Linked DNA regions of Canis lupus familiaris. The protein of the gene in region 3 purifies or fractionates together with the protein of the main gene of each other region. This does not show direct contact. Links are inferred from orthologs where the notes say so. Each region holds a gene or a part of one and is shown on either strand. Other genes may lie near its edges. The genes, in order: RBM26, RBM27 and SRPK2.

What was found.
Region 1: the proteins of SRPK2 (region 3) and RBM26 purify together in Homo sapiens (co-immunoprecipitation; 3 studies listed by BioGRID and IntAct, with this or other methods). This does not show direct contact. The link is inferred for Canis lupus familiaris from reciprocal best matches to the Homo sapiens genes SRPK2 and RBM26.
Region 2: the proteins of SRPK2 (region 3) and RBM27 purify together in Homo sapiens (affinity purification with mass spectrometry; 3 studies listed by BioGRID and IntAct, with this or other methods). This does not show direct contact. The link is inferred for Canis lupus familiaris from reciprocal best matches to the Homo sapiens genes SRPK2 and RBM27.

The regions. Positions count from the first base shown.
Region 1 is NC_049243.1:32,681,924-32,687,929, reverse strand, and holds the end of RBM26 (RNA-binding protein 26), read left to right. Parts: intron 1-1,832; coding exon 1,833-1,946; intron 1,947-3,013; coding exon 3,014-3,106; 3' UTR 3,107-3,356; downstream 3,357-6,006. UniProt on the Homo sapiens protein: May be involved in the turnover of nuclear polyadenylated (pA+) RNA.
Region 2 is NC_049223.1:39,856,616-39,863,818, forward strand, and holds part of RBM27 (RNA-binding protein 27), read left to right. Parts: intron 1-1,572; exon of another isoform or gene 1,573-1,706; intron 1,707-4,119; coding exon 4,120-4,239; intron 4,240-5,111; coding exon 5,112-5,186; intron 5,187-5,327; coding exon 5,328-5,492; intron 5,493-6,941; coding exon 6,942-7,046; intron 7,047-7,174; coding exon 7,175-7,203. UniProt on the Homo sapiens protein: May be involved in the turnover of nuclear polyadenylated (pA+) RNA.
Region 3 is NC_049239.1:15,478,063-15,485,265, forward strand, and holds part of SRPK2 (SRSF protein kinase 2), read left to right. Parts: intron 1-2,745; coding exon 2,746-2,854; intron 2,855-3,935; coding exon 3,936-4,023; intron 4,024-4,216; coding exon 4,217-4,304; intron 4,305-7,203. UniProt on the Homo sapiens protein: Serine/arginine-rich protein-specific kinase which specifically phosphorylates its substrates at serine residues located in regions rich in arginine/serine dipeptides, known as RS domains and is involved in the phosphorylation of SR splicing factors and the regulation of splicing.

The DNA.
Region 1 (6,006 bases), on a different chromosome or scaffold from region 3:
GTATATATACATAGAGCCATTCAAGAAAAGTGAAAAGTCTGTTGGTATGGCTATGGAAAGGATCTGTAAAATAATTGGATTAATAATAGAAAAAAAAAGTGTAAGATCAGTAAAGTATGTTCCCATGTACATATCCTACATATGTATATACACGAACCCTTTTAGTATGTGCATAGAACTTAATTTAGTGTGTTGCAGGATTTTTTTCCCCAAACTCTTCCAAAGATAATGGTTCTCTCTTCAGAATGGGACATCATGGATTATGATTTTTTTTTTACATTATATAACCTGAACTTTATGAATTTTTTAAAAAAATAAAATGATTGGGTTGTAGAATTTTTTTAAACTTTAAAGATTTTTATGTTGTAAATTACCTGAAATAAATTTGCAAGAACTTAAAAAGCAAGAACTAAGTTATCTCAAAAATGTATATAGCCAGAAGTTTATATAGTTTATGTAGTCAGAAGTTTCTAATGGAGAAGGTTGATAAAATGTTAAGTATACCTAGCTTTGAAAATCATCCTGTAAGATGTTAAAATTAAAACTTTAAAAAAGTTAAAACTTGAGAGGGTTGTAGACTCACCTTATAAATTTGAAAGTGTGTGTGCTAAATATAGAGATTTACAGTATTAGGTCATCAGAAATGTCAAGAACTTCTAGAAAATATCAGTAAAAGCTTTGACCTTTTTTTAACTGGATGAAAAGATGAGCTTTATGAGTAGACATTTTGCATGACACTCTTAGAATTCCTACAGTAATATATTTTTATGTAATAGTTTTAGTTTGAAAAAATTACAAGTTGTTTCTAATCTTAAATACCATATATAACTACTTAAAAATTTTTTAATTATATAACCCTGTGATGAGGCCATGGACTAAAAACTCCTGAGCTGCGTTTTAATGGGCATGAAATCTTTAAATTTATCATAGATTTATATGTGCAGATTTAAAATTTATATCTGGAGATTTTAGTATCACACAACTCATGGTCAGGTGTCACTGAACATGTAATTGTTTCTAGATTTCACATTATGCTATACTTTGAGGTTGTGCTATAAATCTTTTGTGACTATGAGTTATTTAGATATATTGCTAACATTGATTTATTTCAGTTCATGGTACTTTAATTTGAATGCACGATTTCTTAACCAGTCACTTAATGTAGCAAATACTAAGTTTGACTTCAATCTTAATGCAGTTCTGAAAGCTTTGTAAGAAGTACTTTAGTTTCAGTAGAAACGTTGAGTTTTTTTCTTCATGGAAGTAACATATTTGTAAGAGTGATATGACAAACATCATATATTTAAAAATAATGTTATACTCTACACATGCAAAATTATTTTTTATTTGTTAAAGTTTTCCAGTTTGTAGTTACTTTGCATGTCACTTGTAAATTAACAATTTAAATGCAATGAAATACAGTTAGCCTGTTGATCCTAATTTAGACTTCAATTCAGAATCTGCAGCCAGGATCTTGAAATGCCTTGAGATTGTTGCCTTGAATAGCCGTTTTATTGTGTTTTAAACATGTAAAGATAGTTCTAGTCAGATACTGGCCAGTAGTAAAAGATCTCTGCTCAAGCATGAGAAAGTGTACTTGTTTTCTTTTTAAAGGTATTTCCAACCACAAAGCTGGGTTTAGAAGTAAATAACCATAAAAAGTAAATAATAAATTATAATAAATAGTAAGTGAAGAAATAAATAACTACAAAGTAAATGGATAGGTATCTTTGCTTTTGTTTTAATTTAAATATTAGGTGCTATAACGTTTCACTGTTTTCTTCAGAAATTATTATTAATGTTCAACATTCTAATGTTCTTAATTGTTTTAGGCTGCAGTTCATGGAGCTCGTTTCAAAGGGCAGGATCTAAAACTGGCATGGAATAAACCAATAACTAATATTTCAGCTGTTGAAACAGAAGAAGTTGAACCTGATGAAGAGGAAGTATGTTTTTTTTTTTTTTAATTTGTTTTGGCCCTAAGTGCTCATGTTCTTATATGAGATGTGATTTTATGGCTGTGATTTTAACATAAAACTTTTATTCCTGAGCCATATTCCAGGAAGGGAATGTCAGATAAATGCAGACAACTTTAAATTTTCTGGATTAATGAGAACATGGATTGCTAATCCAAAAAGGAAAGAAAGAAAATCATATATATATACACAAATATATATACACGCTCAGTTTTCATTTACTCTTAGAAATCAATAATTATTGTTTAGATTTTTATCCACAGGAAATCTTGTAATATTTTAAGTTTTAGAGTATATATCCTACTCAATTGCTTTATTAACATTTCAGGTTTCCTTTATTTTAATTCATATTGTTTTAGTTCATTAGAGTGAATGCCTGCTATATGGTAGATACTGTGATAGGCACAAAAATGAATAAGACACGGTCCCTATCATCAAGGAGCTTATAATCTGGAAAGGGGGGTGGTGACAGACACATAAGAAACTAATTATAATGAAAGGCTCAATAAAGATTTGAACAATATGCTGTGGGAACCTAGGGGAAGGAGTGATTATTTCTGTTCAGAAGAATCTTGAAGAAGGTGGTGACAAGCATAGCTGAAGCCTAAGTGATCAAAAAGCTTTCCATAACCAAGAGCTGGACTGAGAATAGAGTTGAGAGAGGCATTTTAGATGTGGAAGAGGAATTAGATATGGAACAGTCCATTTTACTTGGGTACAGCAGTTAGTATGATGGCCAATAGGTGTGAACATAAAAAACAGTGAAGTGGGAGAGCCCTTTGAAATCATAAACCTAAAAATAAGCAACTCTATTTTGTTTGATCATGAAATAAGCTATAGGAAAAAATTGAGGAAGTTAATAAATAAAGGTAAGGTGGGGAAACAATGATTCCATGTTTTACCTTTGTTAGATTTTCGTAATGGCACTTCATTTGTTTGAAGAGCATTCGAGGCTGTTATACATATCCATAGTCAAATGCAAGAATAAAATGTGTATTTTGAAACTCATATACATGATTTGTCATTTTATATTTTAGATTATACCTTTGTCCTTCCATGAGTTTGAATTGAATGGGGAGAAAAGCAGGAGAGCTCCTGGTATTAGGTATTTTGAAAAGTTTGAAAAGTAGTCTGAGAAGCTTTTATGAAGGGAAATGGGGAAAAGCAAGGAATGCTATGAAAGAAATGTTTGTTACATATAGCAGAAAAAATATATAAATCTTGGTAGACGTTTCTACAAGTATTGATTGATTTAGTGTCCAGGGTTAGGGTAAGTCAGAGAAGACTTATTGATGTTTTCCTTTTTAAAAAAAAAAAACTAAAGGTATTGAGCAATGTTTTGCAGGTGTAGAAGATGGCATAATTTGATCAAGTGAGGCAGGAGAAATGGCATGTACAAAGGCTTTCTTTGATATTTTTTTTAGTGCCTATTTGATATAAGCAATAGAATAGATACTATAGAGAAACCATTGAGTGGATAAAGGTTGCTTTTCTTTGTTCTTGAATATTGTAGCTGTAGAAAATACCTTTTGTTTTCAACTCTGTTGAGAGAAATCAGTATTTAAAAGTGTCACCTTTTTTCTTTTCTTTTTTTTTTTTGGGTAAATTCCTAAATGCATTTTAACCTAAAGTTTCAGGAAGAGTCTTTGGTGGATGACTCATTACTTCAAGATGATGATGAAGAAGAAGAGGACAATGAATCTCGTTCTTGGAGAAGATGATTTGACTGATCATTGATCTGCATATGCTAGAACTCTACCTGTGTTTCATTAGTATTATCTAATGTACTTTTACATATTTGTAAAAACAATTTTTTGGTAAAATGTGATGAAGATGGATTTCACAAATAGACAAAAGAGAAGAAAACTACCTTCTGATCCTGTATTTTGAAAGATTGATGTTTGCATTTTATTTCAGTAAACAATTGCTAAAGACATCACACTAGAAACATATGCAATGTTTTTATTACATACTTCTACTGAACATTACGGAATTCTTTGGGTTCTTTGTAATTTAATGAATAGGTCTAAAAACTTATGACCAATACTTGTTATAACTTAGAGGATTTTGTTTTACTCCAAATAAGGAATGAATTTGCATTTAAAATCTTAATGAATGTTTTCAAAAATGAATAGATAACATAGTACTCTAACTAAAGTCTCCAAGTTATGTATTCATAATATTACATAGTAGTATGCTTAGGCTTTACTATGTATTAGCCTTTTGTTGGACTTGTGTATGTATTTTACTATATGGGTTTTAATGATAATGGTGTATGACTGCTTTGCATATGAGTCCTTATGCATTCAGATGTTAAAAATAAAGTGGAATGGTCTCTTGAACAGAAAAGAAAAAAAAAAAGCAATGACAAAAAAAAAAAAAAAAAAAAAAAACAACCCACAAAGGCCAAGACAATGTTCCTTGATTTTAAAAAAGAAAAAAAGAAAAAAAAAAAAAGAAAAAAATTAAAATAAATAGACCATTCCAGATGGTGATCTACCCTTCCCCCCAATTATCACAAAAGGAGCTATAATCACTAACTTATTAATAATGGTTACTGGTACCTTTACAATAATGTACAATCCAATGTGAAAAATTTATACCACTTCAGTTTGGTTTGATCCTATAAATTTTCAACAGATGTCTTAAAATTTAAAAGCAGGCTATTAGTTTGGAACCAGACTTCAAGTAGAGCTAACATTTGGTGAATAAGAAAACATCACATTACATTTTGGATGTATGAAAGAAAACATGACCATTTGAAGATGTATGAATAAAGAAATGTACTATAGATACTACTTTAGGAAAACACTGTTTGGTAAGTGTTCCAGTCTGATATTTTAAGTGTGCATTTCCTATACTTGTATAAAAATCTTTGACATTTGCAACAGTATTGTGATTTTAAGTGAATTTCTCTGGCAAATGAACATGATCATTGAAAGTTGATACAGCAATTTCAGGAAATAAATGCATTCTTTGTAGAATGAGGGGGTGGGAGATTACATATTTATCTTTTAAAATTCATCATTTCAGTTGCAAGTGTTTCTGCCCTTCCTAAGATCATAGTGATTTTATTAAATGTCACATTGAAAAAATAACTTTCTTCCCATACTGGGGTCCTCACAGTCACAAACTGTAATTCCAACACCATAATCCTCTGTCAGTGGTGTAACTAATGGCTGCTGTTCCTCTTTTTTTTTTTCCCCCTCCCACATTTAGGGTTAAAATTGTATATATGTTCTTGATGGTAATACTATTTCATAGGAATGTTTTGGCTTGCAATTGGTACATGTGTTAATATTTAAAATTTCAAAATTGATTTCTTTTGTCAAAATAGTTATTCAAAAACTTCTTTACTTAGATCTATGATATATTTTTATGTAGTCTTTTGTATGTTGACTATGTGCTATTCTGATTCATTAGGTAAGTTTGTTTTCTTTTCTTTTTAGTAGTCGTGAAAGGTGCCAAATTGGCAGAGGCTCACGTTTCTTCTCTTTACACCAAACAGGTATTATAAAGAAAGAAAATCTTTCAAAGGCCAGTTAACTCTCCATGCTGATTTTTGGCTTTTAATTTGATTAGTAAATTTTAGCCTGGTTTTTAAAAAATTATTGTAAAATTCCCTTATAATGTAACTGAAATTACCTCCATAAGTAGCTTATCAGTTTCCCTCGTCTCAAATTCTCTAATATCCTAAAATTAAAATGTTTTAAGCCAGGTTACTTTGAATGAATCAGAAAACAAGTGTGTTTCAATTTTGTCCCAAAGAATGAGGATTAAATATTACAGACATTCATTAGGTTCACAATTACATTTTTGTTGTCATTAAGATTATTTTAACTATAAATATTACTTAGTATTTAATTGCTATTGGATTTTTGAAATTAATGAATATGCTTATAAATACTAGTACTCTGCATGTACTTTCATGTGTTCTGAGTTAAAACTTAAGGTATCCCTTTGAAGTAGTGCTAATTACCATTTTACAGATAAGGAAACTTAGGCTAATAGAGATGGAGTGACTTGCCCA
Region 2 (7,203 bases), on a different chromosome or scaffold from region 3:
CATGAATAAATAAATAAAATCTTTAAAAAAATATATTTGAGAAAGAGAAAGAAATGTGTGGGGGAGGGGTAGAGAGAGGAAGAGAGAAATCCAAGCACCCTCTACACTGAGCCTAGAGCCTGACTTGGGGCTGAATTCCAATGACCCTGAGATCACAACCTAAGCTGAAACCAAGAGTGAATGCTTGATAAGCTATACCACAAGGCGCCCCACAAAAAGCAATTCTATTTCTCTAAAGATTTTTATTTATTTATTCAGGAGAGACAGAAACATAGGCAGAGGGAGAAGCAGGCTCCCTGCCGGGGAGCCCCAAAAAGCAATTTTAAAAAGTATTTTTCTTCAAAAAAAAAAAAAAAAGTATTTTTCAGTAATCATGATTCTGGCAGTGTTGGTATTCTGAAACTAGTTTGTGAGCATTGTAGGGTAAATCAAATGAAGAATTAATATTGTCAATGACAACTGATATATTTAGTGCAGTTGAAAAGAGGCATACAATAGATGAGATAAGGTAAAAACACCGTAGTCTGCTTTGAATTCAAAGTATGGTTGATCCTTGAACATTCGTGGTTTGAATTGTGCCAGGTCCACATGAACATGGATCAGTCAATCAATTTATTTATTTATGGTTTTATTTAAATTCAAGTTAGTTAACATAATCTACTATTAATTTCAGGGTAGAATTTTAAAGATTTTATTTATTTGAGAGAGTGCAAAAGAGCATGGGGGAGGGAGCAGTAGAGGGAGTAGAGTAGGACTTTGGGACCATGACTTGAGCCAAAGGTAGACACTTAACTTACTGAGCCATCTACACACCCTCGAGGTAGACTTTAGTGATTTATCAGTTGCATATAACACCTGTTACTTATTATACCAAGTGCCCTCCTTAATGCCAATCACCCAATTACCCCACACTACTCACCTCCCTCCCCTCCAGCAACCCTCAGTTTGTTCTCTGTAGTTAAGACCCTCTTATGATTTGTCTCCCTCTTTGTTTTTAGATTATTTTATTTTCCCTTGCTGTCCCCTCCATTTATCTGTTTGTTTCTTCAATTCCACATGAGTAAAATCATATGGTTGTCTTTCTCTGACTGAATTTGTTTAGCATAATACATTCTAGTTCTAGCCACATCATTGCCAATGGCAAGATTTCATTCTTTTTGATGACTGAGTAATACTCTGCTTTATACATAATACCACATCTTCTTTATCCATCCGTCAGTGGACACCTGCTCCTTTTAAACATAGATTTTTAAGATTAGTACAGTAAATTACTGTAAATGTATTAAAGAAACATTTTCTTTTCTATAGCTTATTATCGTAAGAATACAGTTATATGATATACCAAGTATGTGTTGTTTATTTTATCAGTAAGGCTTCTGGTCAACAGTAGGCTATTAAGTTTTAGAGGAGTCAAAAGTTAAATATGTGTATTTTTGTACTGTGGGGTGGGGGTGGGGTCAATCTTGAGTTATTTAAGGATCAACTGTATTGATAACAATTTCAGATACTGTTTTATCTTAAAAAACAAATAAGCAATAAAAAGCTCTAAGACATTTCTTAAATTCTACTCACTGAAAAGGTCTAGAAGTAATAATCAGTCCAAGGGTAATGACCCCTTGCCCCCTCCCAAGCACTCAGAGGAGCCAAGGGTTCTTGAGGAAAGAACCCCAGATCTGGGTCTAACAGTGTTCTAGATGACCCTGGAATATTTTATCCAACCAGAAAATGGAAGTTGTCAAAGATTCTGGAATCCTGTCAGAGAATGAGCTGTAGTCATAAAGGCTCTAGATCTATTCACAAATTTAAAGGAAATTCAAAGGACAGTGGAACATGTTACCAGGGTATTCTAGAATTCTGTGGCAAATATTGCACGATGAGTGATGTGGTTTCTTCAATAAACAATTTGAAAAAAAAAAAAAGACGGGGGGAATGAAATGGTATTAAAGGAGACTTAAAAGAAATACAACCAGTGACAGTAGATGGACTGTATAGATCCCAATTCAAGTGATAAGAAATGTTTAGAATGTGAATATCTAATCATATTAAGTAGTTACTATCTTTTAAGTGTGATGATGGTACGGGGTTATATTTACAAAAGGAAGGGGGCGTTATCTTTTAAAGGTACAACTGTAATATTTACAGATAAAACAACGTGGTGTTTGGTATGAGTGTGGAGTTGGGGATTTAAGTAAAACAAGATTATATAGTCTCCCCTTATCTGCGGGGGATATTTTCCGAGATCCACAGTGGATGCTTGACACCATAGATAATACCAAACCCTATGTGTACTATCTTTTTTCCTGTATATACCTGCCCATAATAAAGTTTAACTTATAAATTAGGCACAATGAAAGGAAAAACAACAATAATAAAATGGAACATTTACAACAATATGCTTTAATAAATGAGAGGTCATTCTCAAAACATTGTACGATACTCATCCTTGTTCATGTGATGATGTGACATGATAAAATGCCTACATAATGAGGTAAAGTGAAGTGAATGATACAAGCATTATGATGTAGTATTAGGTTACCCATGACCTTCTGATGAGCCAGATGAAGGTTATCTATTTCTAGACCGCACTTGACCTCTGGTAACTGAAACCGTGGAAATCCAAACTGTAGATAAGGGGGAACTACTATATTTTATGTCCTGATAACTGTTGGTGCTTGGTGATGGATACATCAAATTGGTAATATAACTCTTTTGTTTCAAAAATTCCATTATAAAAAGATACCAAAACAAAGACATTATAGATTTGGAAGTCAGACAGACGTGACTGACTTGACCTGCCTCTTACTGGATATATTAGATAACTCAAGAGTATTGATTTCCTTTTCTATAAATTGAGTTGCTGTGGGGATTGAAAAATTTCATATTCATAAAGCATGGAACAAGAGTACTTAATACATACTAAGTGCTCAGTAAATTGTAGGTATTGCCATTTGTATGTTAGTAAATAATATGAATTTCAGCTGTGTAGTGTTCCTACAGTATTTCAGAGATGCTTGTGTAGTTAAAGTAGCTTAATTTTGAGGACAATTAACTATTGTTTGAGAGAAGTTTTGTATTTTATTATGGATATTTAATGATAGAATTCACACAATTGAATTTTCTGTGAATTTCTCAATATTATATATTGTGCCCCTTATATCACATATTTTTTTTATATCACATATTTAAAGTCAGTTAAAAAATAAAAGAGGAGAGTGTGTTAGGAAAGACTTGAACCAGAGAGATAGTACTGTATCATGTAGTTCTGCTGTGCCTTAAGGGAAGACTAACTGGAGAACGGTCTGTTCAGAAGGAGAAAGCAATCTAAATAACAAAACTAGCACAGTAGAGATGGCCAGTACTTTACTCAGATCTGTGAGCTAACTGCTTGTTGTAGGTTTGATTATAAACTCATATAGCACTTGATTAAATATAATAATATTATGATTACAAAGTACCTTAATCCTGAGTTAGTTGATTTGGAGGAGGGTTTAAGGAAACCAGTAATTCTGTGATCAGATGTCTTAATTAGCCTTAACCTAAAAGGACGGAAAACTAGGATGAGGCTAGAGCTATAACTGGTAAAGAAGCTACAGTCATCCCTGTTAGCCGGGTTAGAGAGAGATTTAGTCAGTTTTACTGTTTAGACAGGATTCCTCTTTTTTTGTCTCTTCAGTCATGATTATGGAGTGATCTTGTGGTCTTGTTTATGCCTTGACCCATCCTGGTCTCAAGAGTGGCCTTGTTGGAGATTTTTTTATGAAATTGTTTTTGTTTAACAGGAGGACATATAAGGACTGACTCTGGGTAGTTGGCTGGCTGCTCCTAGATATAAGGGGCCACATTCTTTTTCTCTTAATTAAAAAAATGTAACTAGAAGAGGAATAATGTGATCATATCCTGAAACACAACATTATTGCTAAAATTAATTTGTTTTTGCATTTGAGTGACAATTGGATTTATGTATACATAAAAAGCTAGTTTTATAAATGAAGTTTTTAATGTAAAAAAATGTATAACTCCTAAAAAAATACAAATACTTGCAGCCTTTCTAAAAAATTAAAGCTTTTCTAAAATTTGATTTTATATGTTCTAAAATTTGATTTTATATGTGTTTCCTAGATATTTTCAGCTCCAGGCCATCCAAAAATGATTTACAGCTCCTCAAACTTAAAGACACCTTCGAAACTTTGTTCAGGTTCTAAATCTCATGATGTTCAAGAAGTTCTTAAAAAGAAGCAGGTAACAGCCTTGATTCTAATCTCCTTAAAGAGGAACTGACCCATTGAATTCTTAAGTGATTATGTTAGCACATTTGGATAGTTCATGTTGTTATGGAACCACATTATAATGTTTATTTAGCTGCTTTTTGGTACAGTGTACATTTGAAAAAAAAAGATGAACAGACAAAAATGTATTTAGTGGTTCCCTTTCAGTAGCTATATCAAACACAAGGAAAGAATTTTTCTGATATAAAAATAAATAATACTGAGTTGACCTGTTTTGGTTTTTTTCTCCAAGATCAGGAAGCAGACAGTTTAACTTCATTATTTCCTCTTTTAAATCCTCTCTTGCTTTGTAAGTTAGACAATATTTCACATAAAGTATAACATTTATGTACTTGTTATTCATATGATTCACTTCTGAGTTTCATTATTACTATTATTATTAAAAGTGAAGTTTCATTCACTTTTTAGATTTAAACTCATATAAGAGTTTTTCAAATAAAATGTATGTTTGTATGGTCTCAGTATAATTGGAGATTAACAGAGAGGGGTGAGATACAATATTTTCCTGGTAAAAATCCATAGAATTTGCTATGACTTCTGTCCTCTAGCTTTATTTCACATTTTTAAACTTGAAACATGAAAAATAAGGATTGGCTTATTACATTGGCAAGGAAAAACAGGTATTCTTTATAAATACATTTACGTCATTCAAGTAAATAAATGTATTTAAAGGTTTTTGTCTCTGGTTTCAGCTATTTTTTGATTCGGAGCAGAATTTTTCGTACACAACATAGGAATGACCCTGAAGAAATGAGTTGGTCTTTTAACAAATGTATGCAAATGTTGGCAATATCCATTACTAATTTTTTTAATCTGTTCGTATAGGAAGCAATGAAGCTACAACAAGATATGAGGAAAAAGAGACAAGAAGTGCTAGAAAAACAAATAGAATGCCAGAAGGTAAGATAAGAACTCATTATTTGCTTGCTGGAAGATGGATACAATGGATTTTACAAAGATACCTTCATAGTAAAGTTTATAAAGGTTATTTATATTAAAATTTACTAAGCATGGTTTTACTTTCTTCTGTTTATTTTATAGATGCTAATATCTAAGCTAGAAAAGAACAAAAACATGAAACCAGAAGAGAGAGCAAACATAATGAAGACTCTAAAAGAGCTTGGAGAAAAGATTTCACAATTGAAAGATGAATTAAAAACATCTTCTGCAGTCTCCACACCATCTAAAGTAAAGACAAAAACAGAGGTATCTATTTGCATTTTCCATTCAGCATAGGGTTGTTGAACATCTGTTATGTGCTTGGCTCTTTGAAAGTACATTGGAAAAAAAAAAAAAAAAAGAAAGTACATTGGAGCCCTTAGGTAGCTAATAGTCTAATGGGGCGACAGAGTAACAATTTTTTTTAAATGTTCCTCTGTATGCTATGTACTCTCTTTGAAAGAGGTGCTAATACTCTCTTTGAACAAAGATTTTTTTTTTTTTAACTTCCTGAAGATGAAATTGCTAGAGTGATGGCAAAAAAAAAGTGTATTTTCCTGTTTCATGAATTGTTTTTCTAATATTATGGTATAGTGGAACCATCTCTTTTAATATTCAAAAGATACCATTGGCTTTAATATGGTAAAAATGTGGCATTCTGTTGAAAAAAAGAATCAGAATTTCTAGATCCACTTAAGTCTAATTTCATTAATTGCCATTTGTTTCCTTAGAGAGTACTTGCTCTGGAACCATATGCAGTGGTTCCATTATACTACAGCTCTTTAGGGAATTTTGGATTATTTTCTGGCCTTTTGATAACTTGGAATAATAAATTTATCAGATATATAGAATGCAAATTTTTATGTACATTATATATAATACATTTGAAATTGTGGCTCTCTCACCAGAGGGATGTAAAATATTTCATCAAAATTGCTTTGAAAAAATATTTTTATTGAAAATTTTCCTAATTATAGAAGCAGCATATACACATTTTAAAAGTTAATATTTGGGATCCCTGGGTGGCGCAGCGGTTTGGCGCCTGCCTTTGGCCCAGGGCGCGATCCTGGAGACCTGGGATCGAATCCCACGTCGGGCTCCTGGTGCATGGAGCCTGCTTCTCCCTCTGCCTATGTCTCTGCCTGCCTCTCTCTCTCTCTCTCTGTGTGTGTGACTGTCATAAATAAATAAAAAAAAATTAAAAAAAAAAAAAAAAGTTAATATTTGAAGGGAAAAAGTCTCTTCACAGTCATGCTATCTGAAGACATATAGGTTATCCCTCACACCCAAAAAAAGTGGCAGTAGTTGTAGGGTTCAAATCGGAAAGCAATTATGTGGCTATTATCTATTTGTACCATTAATGAGTATTACCTATGTAATTTATTTTGCCCGATTGTGTTTCATTTATGACTCTTTATTATTAGAAAATTATTCTCCCTCTTCTCAGTTGACTCTCCAAGGTCTGATTTTTAGGTCATCTGAAGCAGTAATACTGCTTATTATTTCTACTAATGTCAGTATACTCTCTTTGTATTTTTGCACAGTTAACCTTCCCTAAAACACTCAGGTTTATTGCATCCTCTTATTGTCATTTTGCCAAAAAAGATGTGTGTCATTACATAAGCATAATATTCTGAATAAGATCTTAGACGTTATCTAACAAATGCATTTTTTTTTCTTTTAATGAATACATTTTTACTCTTAATTTTTCCAAAGGCTCAGAAAGAACTATTAGATACTGAGCTGGATCTTCACAAGAGGCTATCCTCAGGAGAAGACACAACAGAGTTACGGAAAAAACTCAGTCAGTTACAGGTTGAGGTGAGAGTTAAGAGGAGTCCCTGACCCCACTACATTTAACATCTCAAATAAATACCTATATTCTTCCTGTCTTTTCTAGGGTTCAGTCTGACAGCATATATTATATTCTACCTTTTGTTGTTGTTCAGGCTGCACGATTAGGTATTTTACCGGTGGG
Region 3 (7,203 bases):
TTCTGAGATAACTGGACTAAATTAATTTTTGTTCAACTTTCAAAGCCCTATTGAGAAAAGGAATGGCTATGCTAAATAGTGCTCTTCTGTTCTTGCTCACATGTACACACTTTGGTTGTTGGAGAATCCAAGTCTGAAACATACCATAATGATAAAAATTTCTTCTCTTTATGCATAATTAAATTATTTTTAAATTTAGAGACTTTAATATTGGGAATAATATGCAATTAAGTAGTAAATAGCTTCTAATTAAGCTTTCAAGTGTTCCCTATATACTTCGACCGGGAAATAGTCCTGCAGTTGTTAAAAACGAAATCCATTTCTTTCTGGTGGACAAGGCATGGACTTTGGAGTCAAATTCGGTTTCCAGACCTCAACCTGCTTTGTGGGGTGGTTGTAAGAAATTACATAGACATTGGTGTTCCCTAAATACTTTTGTGTTGTGAAATGTGACTTTTTTTTTTTAAAGGATCATTTCATGAACAAATATGTCTGGAATTTGCAGCATGCTCTCTTCTCTTTGAAATCCCCACTGTGTGTTAAGACATTGGGCTCTTAGAACGCTGTGGTCAAAACATCTGCTTTGCTTTGTTGAATTTCTTATTTCCTAGACTCTCCCTTCTCCCCACTTCTACCATGGAACACCAGCAACATATTGTGGAATTTACTTCCTTTCATGGAACATGGTTTTGAAAATAAAGTGCCTAGCACAATGCCCCTAATTTGTACTTGGAAAATTATAGTTTTTCTCTCCTTTTCAGTGTTAATTTTAATGGTTCAAAATTGTATTGTAAATTCAATTCACTTCAATTTTAGTTTAACCTTTTAAGTAAGTAATAAGCCATTTTTTTCTTCTCATTTTATTGAGATGTATTTCATAATATAGCACTGTATGAGCTTCAGGTATATAGCATCATGACTTGACCTATGTGTTTATTGTGAAATCACTACAATGAGTTTAGTCACCACCTATCTTATCTGCTATATTCTTAATTTATTATCTTTTAGTTCATATCTTTTACCCAGAATACTGTTAAAGGCTTTGTGTGTGTGTGTGTGTGTTTTTAAGATTTTATTTATTTATTCATGAGACACACACACACACACACACACACACACACACACAGAGGCAGAGACACAGGCAGAGGGAGAAGCAGGCTCCATGCAGGAGCCCAATGTACGACTCAATCCCGGGACTCCAGGATCATACCCTAGGCCAATAGCAGATGCTAAACCACTGAGCCACCCAGGGATCCCCCTGTTAAAGACTTTGATATTAAAATCTGAGAAATCGGGATACCTGGGTGGCGCAGCGGTTTGGCGCCTGCCTTTGGCCCAGGGCACGATCCTGGAGACCCAGGATCGAATCCCACATCGGGCTCCCGGTGCATGGGGCCTGCTTCTCCCTCTGCCTATGTCTCTGCCTCTCTCTCTCTGTGACTATCATAAATTAAAAAAAAAAAAAATAAAATAAAATAAAATCTGAGAAATCCAGGTGTAATGGCAGGAGAATAAGAATCTTTAAAACTCAGTATCTTGTCAAATTACTGCTTCACTAATTCAGTTAGGAAACAATCTAAATAAACCCAAAAAATATTCATAGTATTTCTTGAAGTTTACTCCTAGCCTTCTGAAAGAAACTTAGATACATTAAAAGATGTGGCTTGAATACTTCCTGCACCTGCTCTGAGCCTCTGAACACTAGCTGGGAAGGACCTATCCACGGACCTATCCTTCCTTGAGTGACTTGTAAGAATTGACTTGCAGACTTGAAAAATGAGAGATAATGTTGCAATAAAGAAGCGGATGTTATAAGAATAAAAAGTCAGAAAGCATTATGTGTATTTTAGTAAAAAATTAAGGTAGATAAAAAGAATAAAAGTAATTTTATACCCAGAGATGTTTGTTGCAAACATCTTATCCCCCTAGATTTTTCCTGGTGTATTTCACAAAAATGGTATCACATTCTTCATGCTACTTTGCAGCCTGTTTATTTTACTTACAAATACAGAGTAAAGGTCTTTTTATGCCAGATATTTATGAAAGCACTCTTTTACCTTTCCCAAGTATCTGCCTCCACAGGGTATGCTCTCTCACTCTCCATCCTATTTCTCAGCAGTGGTTTGAGGTTGGAGAAGTCAGGGGAGAGAGGAGTGAGCTGTGTTGGAGGGTGAACTGTTGTACATTATATGATTCCTTGTTGGTTATACACTAACTATTGGTGTATGCAGATTTACTCAGAGTACACATTTTTTATTTTGCTGAGTTATTATACTAACCCAAGAAGATTTGCATTGAATTTATTGCTTAGAAAAGAAGATGACATTGTATGGAAAAGTCAAGAACTGGTGTGTGCATATTATGTACACAAATTACTGTTACAGAGTGCTTGATGGCTTGTCTGAGTTAAATCAGAATGAACAGAAGGGCTTTTTAGGCAAAGGACATTTTTCTCTCGATGAAAGATACTTTCAAGAAAAATGTTGTATTATTAAACATATTTTGATCTGATTTTAGTACTTAGAGCTTTCTTAAATGGACTCAAGAACTGACTAAAGGGTGCACCTGGCGGGCTCAGTCAGTAGAGCATGTAATTCTTGATCTTGGGGTCTTGAGTTCAAGCTCCACATTGAGTATAGAGATTAATTGAAAAATAAATACAATCTTAAAAAAAAAAGAACTGACACAAAGGAAGAGATTTTATTACTATTTCTCTGAAATTAAAAAAAAAATTTTTTATAACAGGTGGCTACCATCCGGTGAAAATTGGAGACCTCTTCAATGGCCGCTACCATGTTATTAGGAAGCTAGGATGGGGACACTTCTCAACTGTCTGGCTGTGCTGGGATATGCAGTAAGTGTTCTTTGTCATTTGTGCATTTAGTTTCTGGACTAGTTCAACCTTTATAATACAATATGGCTGAGGAGCATGCCTACTTCTGTTGTGGCATGTATACTACTTGGCATAAGCCTGCCCCACTCACCTAGAGACCCACCCACCCCAGTCAGAAGTTCTCTTGTCTGTTATCTTAATATTATTAACTTTCTTCTGCTTTTATGTCTGAAGCTTATTCATTGAAATTGCATTGTATCACATATTCTTCTAATAATTCACCCATATCAGAGAAACATTCACATGTAAAATAATGATGTGTCGACCTTAAAAGTCAGTGGTTTCTAACTTTTTTTTTTTTTTTTTTTTACGGCTCCATAGTATGAAACTACAATGCTACCCCTTACACACATACATATATGGTGTGTATGTGTATGTACTAAAACAGAAGTGTTATAAAATAAGAATTACCTTTAATGTATGGATGAACTCTGATATTTTTCCAGTCTACCTTTTTTTTTTAATTAGGTAAAGACAACATGATGCAAAGAAGAGATTGTTTTGATCCATTAACCTATTGCTTAATTGCTGTTGCACAATTTGAAAAGTACTGTCTTGTTTTTTTTTTTTTTTTCAAGATTTTATTCATTTATTCATGAGAGACACAGAGAGACAGAGACACAGGCAGAGGGAGAAGGCTCCATGCAGGGAGCCCGATGTGGGACTCAATCCCGGGACTCCGGGATCACACCCTGGGCTGAAAGCAGGCGCTAAACTGCTGAGCCACCCAGGGATCCCCGAAAAAGTACTGTTTTAAAGGAAAGATTTTTAGAAGTTCTTATTTATTGGGATGCTTGGGTGGCTCAGTGGTTGAGCATCTGCCTTTGGCTCAGGTCCTGATCCTGGGGTCCTGGGATCAAGTCTTATATCAGGCTCCCCGCAGGGAACCTGCTTCTCCCTCTGCCTATGTCCCTGCCCCTCTCTCTGTGTGTCTGTCATGAATAAATAAAATCTTTAAAAAAAGGAAGTTTCTATTTATTGAATAGATGTTATTATAATGATTACTTCTGTTAATATTAAAAATATGCATTTTTTTTTAAAGGGGGAAAAGATTTGTTGCAATGAAAGTTGTAAAAAGTGCCCAGCATTATACAGAGACAGCCTTGGATGAAATAAAACTGCTCAAATGTGTAAGTATCCCCAAAATGTGAATAATGCAAGAAAAATTAATGACAAAATTTTACAGAGGAATTTTTAAGTTTGAATGATGAATCTTTTATCTTTAAAAACATCCATTTTACTAAAATGTTTTTAGTTGATTATAATGGAAATGACTTTCAGTCTTAAATATTTCTGTCCTTGAATTCATTTTTTTTCCTGTAGGTTCGAGAAAGTGATCCCACTGACCCGAATAAAGACATGGTAGTACAGTTAATTGATGACTTCAAGATTTCAGGCATGAATGGAATACGTATCCTTACTGATAATTCTTTTATTTCCTAGTGGCTTTTTACTTTTAAAATATGGAAATATTTCAAGCTTGTTTAAACTCCTGTTTGCTGTGCTGTATCAATGTCTATATAAAGCCTCTACTGTCATCATAGAATGCTATAACATGGTATGCCGAAAATTCCCCAATTCCTGCCAGTCCATTTCAGTGTCTTGGGTAATCTCTCTGGGGTTGTACAGCATCTTAAACATTCTTCTTGTCCAGGCACCGTGCTCTTTACAGACAATCCCTCTACCTTCAATATCAAGCTGGGGAAGAACCATACATATGTGTAAGTAGAGAGCAGAGAAAGATTAGTCACAGTCATCATTACAGATGAAAAGGAGCAAAAGATCGGTTGTGTCAAGAGTCAGGGTCTTCTCCTTGCCAATCTTTTGCTCCTTCCATCATAACATGTTTGGAACAGATCCATCATTTTGGTATTTGACCTCCTCCAGCTCCAGAAGCCCGAGGACAAAGCCTTCTCCCAGCTTACAGCCCAGACTGGTACCCTGTTTCTGTATCTCCTAAGCTTTAATCCCTGAGCAGGCACTTCCTTCATACCCTGTATGTCTGAAGGAGGTTCTGTATTTCCTTCAGAGATTGGATTAGAGGGTACTAGTAAGTACCAGTGCCTGCTGATGTCACTTTGTCTTTTCCTCAAGATTATTTCTGGTTGTTGCTCAGTGCATTTTCCCCTCGTTTTTTTTTTTTTTTTTTTTTTTTTTTTTAAAGATTGATTTTTGAGGGAGAGATTTGAAGAGGAGGAGGGGCAGAGAGAAAAGGAGAGAAAGAATCTCAAGCAGACTCCCCACTGAGCATGGAGCCCGATGCAGGGCTCAATCTCATGACCCTGAGATCACATACTGAGCCAAAATCAAGAGTCAGACGCTCATCCAAGTCATTCAGGTTCTGGTGTTCTTTCCACCACCCTATAGACAGAGCTGGTCCTTTGCCCTGTCTCCAGGTGAGCTTGTTTGTTTATGGGCAGGCAGGGCAGCTCCTCTTCTTAGTTTTGTAAGGCAGTTTGCTGGGATAGCTGAGAGAATTTCTTTGGAGAAACTACCTGATTTATAGGTAAATGGAGTGTTTTGGGTATATATACATTCCAGTGGCTGTTATTACTATTTTATAAAGCGCCAGGGAAACCATTATAGTCCAGGTTGTCAGTGCTTTGAGAAGATTTAGGTCATAATTTAGAAATCTTGGCCTTTGGCTCTGCGTCTTTTACCAACTGTAATCATTTTGCCATTTTTTATAATGATTTGGGAAATAGTAAGAAACTTCTGGCTTTATATTATCTGTGCATAAATCTATAATGTTCTCCTACAGTGTAGAAATGCTTTTTAAATTTTTCACTAAAAATATTTAAAGCAAAAAATAAAATAAAATAAAAATATTTAAAGCAACTGTGATAATTTGATTGGTAGATCTAGATATTGTAGTACAAAATATTAAATCAATTAACCTGCTTTTAATAGCCTGTCTTTAGGCTTCCAGAGATGAACAATATATTCTAAAAAGGTTTCAGAGACATTATAAATCTTTCTATATGAATAACATGAATATATTTGTATGATGGACTTTAGTGGGTCTACTTCTGCAGAGTCCCTGGTTGACTAGAATACCCAAATTCCTGAGATTTCATTATTAAATGCTATGTTCTATATTGTGATCTTACATCATTGAGAGCCTCCTGTAGTATTAAACTTGATCTGGTTCTGCAAAGAAAGATACTCTTGGGGGGTGCCTGGGTGGTCAGTCAGCTAAGTGTCTGCCTCCAGCTCAGGTCATGATCTCAGGATCCTGGGATCAAGCCCCGCATGGGGTGGGGGGGGGTCCCTGCTCAGCAGGAAGTCTGCTTCTTCCTCTCCCTCTGCCCTTCTCTTGCTCATGTACGAGCGCACTCTCTCAAATAAATAAATCTTTAAAAAATATATATACTATTGAAGGAAAAGGTTAAATATCTTCACTGTGTTTTGTAAATTTCTATTTTATAAAATGTTTTATGTGTTAGGAATATAGGCAGGCAGGACACTTTTAAGAAAGGGTTTTTTGTTGCCCCCTCTCCCCCATCAGTTTTTTTTTTTTTTTTTTTTTTTAAGATTTTATTTATTTATTCGTGAGAGAGGGAGGGAGGGGCGCAGAGACACAAGCAGGCTCCATGCAGGGAACCTGACATGGGACTTGATCCTGGGTCTCCAGGATCAGGCCCTAGGCCGAAGGCGGCGCTAAACTGCTGAGCCACCCGGGCTGCCCTCCCATCAGTTTTTATGAGGTTTTAGCCTTGCTTACTTTCATTACTGCTGATTATCAGGGAGGGGGATGTTGAAATGAGCAAGAGTGCAGGGAGGTGCAAGGTTGCCTCATGACCCAGCAACTTTTGGACTGTGTGACACTGGGGATCTTTTCGGCTCCTGGGTTCACTGTGGTTGCTTCTGTGTAGGGGTAAGCATATTGTTTGATAAGCCTACACTGAGTAACATGTAGGATATAAGTACTTGGTAAATGTTAGATCTACCTATTTTGGTGAGAAACAGCCTGTGACCACTTTGGTATTATTGATGGTAGTGATGATGCATTTTTATTTTATTTTATTTTATTTTATTTTATTTTATTTTATTTTATTTATTTATTTTATTTTATTTTATTTTATTTTATTATTTATTTTATTTTATTTTATTTATTTTATTTTGATGTTGCATTTTTAAATGTTTTTTGTTGTTTCTTAGTGCACGCATGTAGGTGTGCATGATTGGGGATGGGGCACCATGGAGAATCCCAAGCAGTCTCCATGGTGAGCGTGGAGCCCAACGCGGGGCTCCTTCTCACTACCCTGAGATCATGATCTGACCCAATACCAAGAGTTGGACGCTTACCT